Linked DNA regions of Styela clava. The protein of the gene in region 1 purifies or fractionates together with the protein of each later gene. This does not show direct contact. Links are inferred from orthologs where the notes say so. Each region holds a gene or a part of one and is shown on either strand. Other genes may lie near its edges.

Region 1 (3,759 bases):
ATGGTGGAACCAACCAGCGGTTACGTTAACCACCTGATGTCTCAAAGAGTCCAGAAATCCTCCGGTACATAAAGATTTGCCGCAGTGTGTTTGGGGTTCTTAACTCTTAGCATAATGGGCCAACTGTTGTTCAAAAGCACTGTGTCAAATAAGCACCATGCTTCAGCTAACACAAAAGTGTGGACCCAGCAGTTAGGCAGCCTGATGTATGGTTATTACTTATCGATTTTAATCGGTAAACATGTTGATAAGTATCTGTCTGTTAGATGCACGCGATATCTCACGAAAGCGAGATTGAATCTGCTCCAGATTTTGCATGTGCATTCATATTGATTTTGGATGAATTATGTCGTATAATTAGCGAGATATTAATTAATTAATGATGGAACACCAGGTGTTACTATGGAGTAAGAGCGCTGTTTTGGGGGATCCCCTAACTTTCGATCGATAAGTCTTCGGTCTCTGACCGATATTCTCATTTGCCGTTTGTTCAAGTTGTATTAGTTACTTTTGTGCATACTGAATCGTAGCAGTAAAAGCCTCTTATTTTGGGTGCAAACATTGTGTGATGTTTCGGGGAAAGCTTAGCAAGTTAGGGAACTTTGCAGATGGGGGCGAAACACTACACATATAAGCACAGTATAAAAAATTGTACTGCTCCTCGAGAATTCACTTACTTTCGTCACGAGTGTTGTGTGTGCCTTCAGCAACATTGATAGATATTTTATGATTGGTTGGAAGATTTCTCTCTAATTTAACTCTCATGCATAGTCCAATAAGTGTAGCAAGTGAACAATGGGGAATCGTAGGTCTGCAATATTGAATATTAATGCTGTTAAGATTGTTCATTCAGGATGCTGCATCACCAGTTCAGTAAGTGTCAGGAATATGCTTGCATGCAAGGATGGTTAACTTATATGCGAGAGGATGGACTCCTCACCGTCAAAGGGCGGTTCATGTAACTACTGGTCAGTTACAGCTTACTCCACCATCAAGTCCATGCTTCCGACAACAAATAAATGGCTAAGTGATTCCATACCCGACATGGTCTGGTAACCGGACAACTGTGGGTCGCCATATGATTAAGCAGTCCTATCGACTTTCCTCTAGCCACACATAATTCTTCCTAGCTTAACATCTTATTAGAAAGAAGGTCACCATGTTTCCTGACTTATATTCTCACCTAATACACAATGAACCGTCAGAGGATCAAAAAGTGATGCAATGACAAGCTTTTTCTAAACTCTAAGCATGACGCACACCCCAGCATTAATAAGGTAAGAATCCATTTTAAACTCTGTTATGTTTTAAGGCACAGGACACAAAAAAAAACTTAAAAGTACTTCATGCCCACAGCCCCACATCATCTTGTGACATTGAATATAAGTGAAAACCAAGATGAAATTCTCACAAAACGAACGTGGAAGCATTGCGATATTACACACCAGGGCGCTCCAGAAGTGGAGGTAACTAATATTATTCGCCCATTTTATATCAAGTTGTGTAAAGGAACTGAAATCAGGGGCTTTATTTACTTGTCTAAAACAGACAGTCTCCGAACTCGTAAAAGAACTAAAATAATCGGAATAAAAATATGGCCTAACCCTAACATGGTACACACACTACTGGATTACCCACACCAGTGACATATACGCAAGGGCAGTGAAAATACAAAACAGCTATAATGAAAATGACTAACCCCAATAGCAAGAATAATACAAGAACTATACTGACTTATAATCAACTTCGACGAAGTATCGTTCTTGATCAGCATCTGTTTCTACTCTGATACCTTCTTCATACACAATATCTAAATCTTCTAAAGTTCCAGGTTTTTCAGGATCTTTTATTGTTCGCAGAAGATCTATAACAAAGGTGACAATTAGTAATCCCAGAGTTTTCATTGAAAAAGGGTTCCAATTAACATTAACTGGTGGAAAAATGGGTACTCATGTAGTATGTGAACCAAGATGGCGGACTCTGGAACGTAGTATATGTACTGGGTCAGACCATAATTTCAAGTACAAATACTGCAGGAGTCATTTGGCTAGTCCTTGAACTCGTAATAGAACTAAAATGAGGAAAATTAGAATAAAATTATGGCCTAACTCTAACCTGGTACATATACTACGTTTCGGTGTCTGCCATCTTGGTTCACATACTACGGGAGCACTGAAAAATGATGAATACAACATCGGTATACTATTTTTTTTTTTTTGAAAGAACTTTCTTAGAGTAAAGTCATGTTCACTCGTTTAGAAATAAAGAAGATTGATTTCTAAACGAATTTAACATCGACCACTAAAGGCCTGGGAACTACAAGAATAAAAAAAAATTTACTAGAATCATTGCTCGAAGCTGTAGTCAAAATTTTTTAACACATAGAATTGGCAGTCAAAATTCTTCTTAACATCGAATCGACGATTTACTTCAGCCTGGAGCTTGTAAATTTTGTCAGACCTTACAGCCCTGGCATAAACGACTAACAGTTGACATTTTTCATACCATATATTGTCCCTTTGTGTGTGTCAATGTCCAAATCCATTGTTGTATTTACAAAACTACGACACAAAAAGTGTAGCTGTTTTTTAAAGATATACAAATTATCATGAAACAAAAATATATCAAATTCATTAATGTATAATTTTACCAAACAAAAACCAATATGACAAAGGTTATTCTTTTATAACAGACAGTTATAATCTAGCAAGAATTTAAACCAATTAAGGTACCACCTATACATTATAATAAATATCTGAAAAATTCAATACAGTTTATCTTATTATTTCACATTTTATAGGTGTTGTCAAATAATGATAAAAATTGGTGAAACTAACATTAATCGTTTATGTGCACAGAAATGATACTTTAACTTTCCTTTTTCACAGTTCAGCTTTAACAAAGTCAATTTTTTTTTAATTGCTCTTGAGTCAGATTCGGAGTATATGCTCTGAGCTTATGAGAGACTACTTCCAACGTAGTGACATAAAATTTCATGAATCAGCATTTTTGCTAGTGGATGTTTCCGCACTTTCTTTTTGTTTGTTATAATAATAAAGTGCATATCCCAGGAGAGAAAAAGTCATGAAGAAAGAAGCATACTCGAAAAAATATCCATATTTAAAAACGCTTCCAAGCATGAGATGTTTTACTTCAGCATCAGCCTCTTGCTTTTTCTCAAGAGTTTTAAAAGTCAGTTGATCGGGAACATCTTTCATATTTTCAAACTTCCCAACAAAAACAAGAATCATTTTATCTACTCTTGTTAATTTTCGAACTTTTTTTTTATTTTGATGAATTTCTTTTTTTCTCTCTAAATAAATTTCACTTTCAGTCTTTCTTTTGTCTACGACTTCTTGTTCTTCAATTTCAACAACATCATTATCTCCTATTGCCGGTCGAAACACTTTTCTTGTATATGTTTTCTCCGCATAGTTGCATGCTGGTATTGACTTTGCCAGCCAGTTTTTCTGATTTAACAAATGTTTTTCGACAAAAACTAGGCGTTCTAGTAACAAAGCCCTCCTGGTTGCAGTTCGTAATAAATTCATTTCATTGCTTAATAAAAATCTGTTATGAAAACAATGGAATTTTATTTCAATCCTTGCAGCCTTGTCTATGACATGTTGCACAGAGATGTGGCAAATGAGGAGAGATAGTGATTTATTTCAAATACCCTTAAAGTAGGCTACACATTGCAATTAAAAACAATAAAACTTTGGCAGCCAAGATCGCAAGTTCGACCAACCCTTAAAAAAA
Region 2 (3,759 bases), on another chromosome or scaffold:
ACAGATCATCAACATTATTCAAGGTGGCATCGCCTATGGCACATTTATAAAACTAATATAATGTACAAAATTAGATTAGCAAACAGAACAATACTATATTTTTTACAGTATATGTTCAAAGCACAGCTCACATAGTTGAAAACAAGGTTGCACATATTGCTGGAATATTTATCCAAACGAGTAGGCACTAATGGAGTTAGTAATATGTGTATTGCGCTGTTTCTATATTTATAAGAAATCATATTATAACAAATCAGATTTAAAAGCATTCCATCACCATTTAATACCCAGCCCTATCGCATTATCTGTTTCTAATGCGTGATATTTTGTATACAATATCATGTCCAAATCACTTGCAGAGAATTTATCAGCAAGAGAAGGTACATCATGGAGTTCAGTCTGAGGTTCAACTTCGTCATATTTTTTCTGAATAAGTGCAAGATGTTCTTTTTGCTCATCTCTACTCAGTTTGGGATCTTTAATTTGTCCACCGCCATTGAGACAACCTGATGGACAAGCCATAACCTCTACATAGTGATATTTACACATTTTTCTTTTCATTTTTTGCACCAAATTTTGAATGCTACGAAATCCATATGTACATGCAAAGCGTAGAAGAACATTACCATCATCATCATTAAGAATCACTTCTCTGAAATCTTTATTGTTTCTTATTGTTTTGTATTCGATCTTGTCTACAGTCTTATTAAAAAGTTCTTTAGCAGCTGACCTGAAAATGTATTCAAGAAATCCTCCCGAACCACCACCAGCATTGCTAATAAGATTTGATGGAGCTAACAAAGCTTTCCGTAATTCTTTATGAATGGATGAAACATCAGGAGTGGTATGGTTATCCAATGATAATAGGTCTTTAGGAGAGATGGATTCTTTTTCAATCATAGTTTGAACCTCGGTTGTTGCAAGAACGAGGTCAACATCTTTACTTCGATAAATATCATTATAAAAGTCCTCTCTTGTTGCTTCTAATTTCTTATCATAACACATCATTACTGTCACATGATATACCGAGCTTGGTGAGTTTTCGGAAACACTCGGAATTATACTTTTGATTAAAGATCCTGCAATTTGTTGTGGTGATTTCACTTTACTCAAATGTGGAATCACAAGTTTACCATGAGTTTTTTCAGCATAGCAAATAAAGCCAGGACATGCTGATGTCAATATTGGCAAATTTGCATTGTTTTGAAATGATTCAATAAATTCTTTCCTACATTCATCAAGTGCATATTGGCGAAAATATGCAGTGTCCAATACTAAATTTGCACCAATTTTAGTGAAGAAATTACTTAAAAATAGTGCAGTCTCTTCAAGACTAAGTCCATAATGAGCAGATAAAGATGCTCTGCTTTGGGGAGACGTTGAAACAACAATATATCTTTTATGATTTTCAGATTTATTCGACAAAACAACCTTATAAAACTCTTCAAAACTATGTTGTTGTACAAGAATAGACTCCGCAGATGTAACACATCCACTGCATGCCAAACAATCACTCAAAGATACTTCAGCTTTCTGCAAAGTTTTGATTTGTTCATTTGCCGCATCAACATAATTACCTTCATCATCCAGCCTTATTTTTGATTTCTTCTTTATCCCTTTATTTAGCGATACAACTGAAGGCTTTTTAATCTGTGTCGGCTTGATACATTCTTGCGATGGTGCAATGAAGTCATCCAAATCAGTTAACTGAAGAGCACCACTGAACTTAGAAGCCATTGTTCCTCAGTTACTTTACTCACACGCAACGAGAATCATCCACATTCCTGCATTCAGACATATTGAAGAATGTTTGGTTTGCGATGTCATAACCGTAAGCGTAAGATGTCAACAAAGAGCAAAGAATGGCGAAACGTGTCATTTTATTTTCACTCAAGATTACAGAAGTTGTAACTTAGACAGATTGATGCGGTTTCGGGGGAGGAATCCGCTTAACACTAATTTTAATATATTGAATGTATCGTGACAATTTTTTTTCAATATGATTGCTTTTGCTCAAAGAAATAGAACTTGTAGAATTAGGTAATAATGTTTTATAATTGATTAAAGATTATTTCGACTCCATAGTGCCATAATGAGCATAACAGATGATAAAAGTTGATAAAAACAAGTACGGTACCCAGTCTGGATTTCATGGCCTTTTCGAACGAGAAATCGGGCGTGCAATCAGAAATTCCCGCGTGCAAATAAGAATTTCTGGCGTGCAATTATAGTTCACGGCGTGCAAAACAACTGCGCCCGCTAAACTGATTTCGACCTAAGATACCTCTCAATACATCCGCGTAAAAATGAGTTGGATCATAGCAAAAAATGGACGTTTGACCTTTGACCCCCAAAACATCATTTCTATATTTTGTCACTAATTTTGAGAGTGTTTGTGCGACTTTAGATACCGGTACTGTTCAGTACATCCGTGTAAAATTATTGTTTTAAAAATACGCTGAATCAGAGCCATAACTGGCCAGCGTCGGTGAGGAGGCGATTTTTCTCACGGAATTCCTATCATTCAACACGATATGGTGATTTTTGCTTCGCATTTTTCGATCAGGCCAAATCTTGCAAGCAAGTATTAGTCGACAATTGTAAAGTTATAATTTTTTGGCATCTTTATATTACTAGATTATTGATTAAAAAACTATCTAAACCGATTTACATTGGTGAGCAATTGCAAATTTTCGGCGTGCAAAATTGAATTCGCTCGCGTGCATTTTTGTGGAGCGCTAGCGCCCTCGGGCGTGCATCTGCCATGGAATCCAGTCTGGTACGGTACTAAAATTAAAAGTACTGTACCGGTAACAGATAGGACAGGACAGCAAACAAAAAGTTTAGACTCTACTCTACATCTACCGGTATAGGGTGCAGAATTGAAATTGGAAGATCAGGGGGTCTAAAAAGTGACATTTATTTACCCATCTAAAGCCAGAAACCTATCATTGATAATTTTGCTAATTGGTAGCCTATTTCAAAACTTTTGAATTTATGACGGTGTGGCTCAACGGGCTAAGCGTTAGGAATACGCTCGACACCGCACCTCTAATTACTCTGCGTGGGTTCGCAGGTTCAAATCCCATGAAGGGATGGTTATGTGCGAGAGGATTGCTGGACTCCTCGCCGTCGTTGGGTGGTTCACGTAACCGCTGGTCGGTTACGGCTTCCTCCACCACCAAGTCCATGCTTCCGAAAACGAACAATACAGTAAAAACTAATCCCATACCCGACTTGGAATGGTAACCGGACGAGAGGCCGTGGTCCCCCGGGATAAATATGTAAATCCTATCCTATCCCTATGATTCTGCCTTTCTAATAACTTAAACATCTTTAATTCTATCAAAATGCTGAAATGGATAATGCATGTTTTAATTGCTTGATGCTGTGTTTTAATTCTGTAATTGGAATGGATACCACTGATGCTAAAATCATGTGACGTACTGATATCTGGAAGGAAAATATATTGGATGGTAACATTTAATTTGATATGATGAATATTGTTTTCTTATTACTGGGTTCAACACATTTTAGGAAAAAAAATTGCAAAAAGTAATTAGGATCTCATTTACGCTTCTGTCTTTATCATTTCATCGTGATTTAACTAGCAGAGATTACTACTATACTACAGAACTTAGGGAATTAATGGAACATAAAATACTAGCATCTCATTTTCATATGCGTATTTATTGCAGTGGTGTTTCATTGGTTTATAGTGTTTGCCTAAAATTTGGATTATTCCTAAATACTGAAATA

The links. Proteins that work in one complex are often made in the same cells at the same time.
Region 2: the proteins of cytosolic iron-sulfur assembly component 2A-like (region 1) and cytosolic Fe-S cluster assembly factor narfl-like purify together in Homo sapiens (affinity purification with mass spectrometry; 4 studies listed by BioGRID and IntAct, with this or other methods). This does not show direct contact. The link is inferred for Styela clava from reciprocal best matches to the Homo sapiens genes CIAO2A and CIAO3.

Annotation. Positions count from the first base shown.
Region 1 is NC_135252.1:20,979,161-20,982,919, forward strand, and holds the start of cytosolic iron-sulfur assembly component 2A-like, read right to left. Parts: upstream 2,684-3,759; 5' UTR 2,546-2,683; coding exon 2,506-2,545; intron 1,865-2,505; coding exon 1,735-1,864; intron 812-1,734; coding exon 678-811; intron 1-677. Other genes in the region: uncharacterized protein LOC144421077, read right to left, coding at 2,994-3,551. UniProt on the Homo sapiens protein: Component of the cytosolic iron-sulfur protein assembly (CIA) complex, a multiprotein complex that mediates the incorporation of iron-sulfur cluster into extramitochondrial Fe/S proteins.
Region 2 is NC_135251.1:30,001,236-30,004,994, reverse strand, and holds the start of cytosolic Fe-S cluster assembly factor narfl-like, read right to left. Parts: upstream 2,284-3,759; 5' UTR 1,738-2,283; coding exon 274-1,737; 3' UTR 1-273.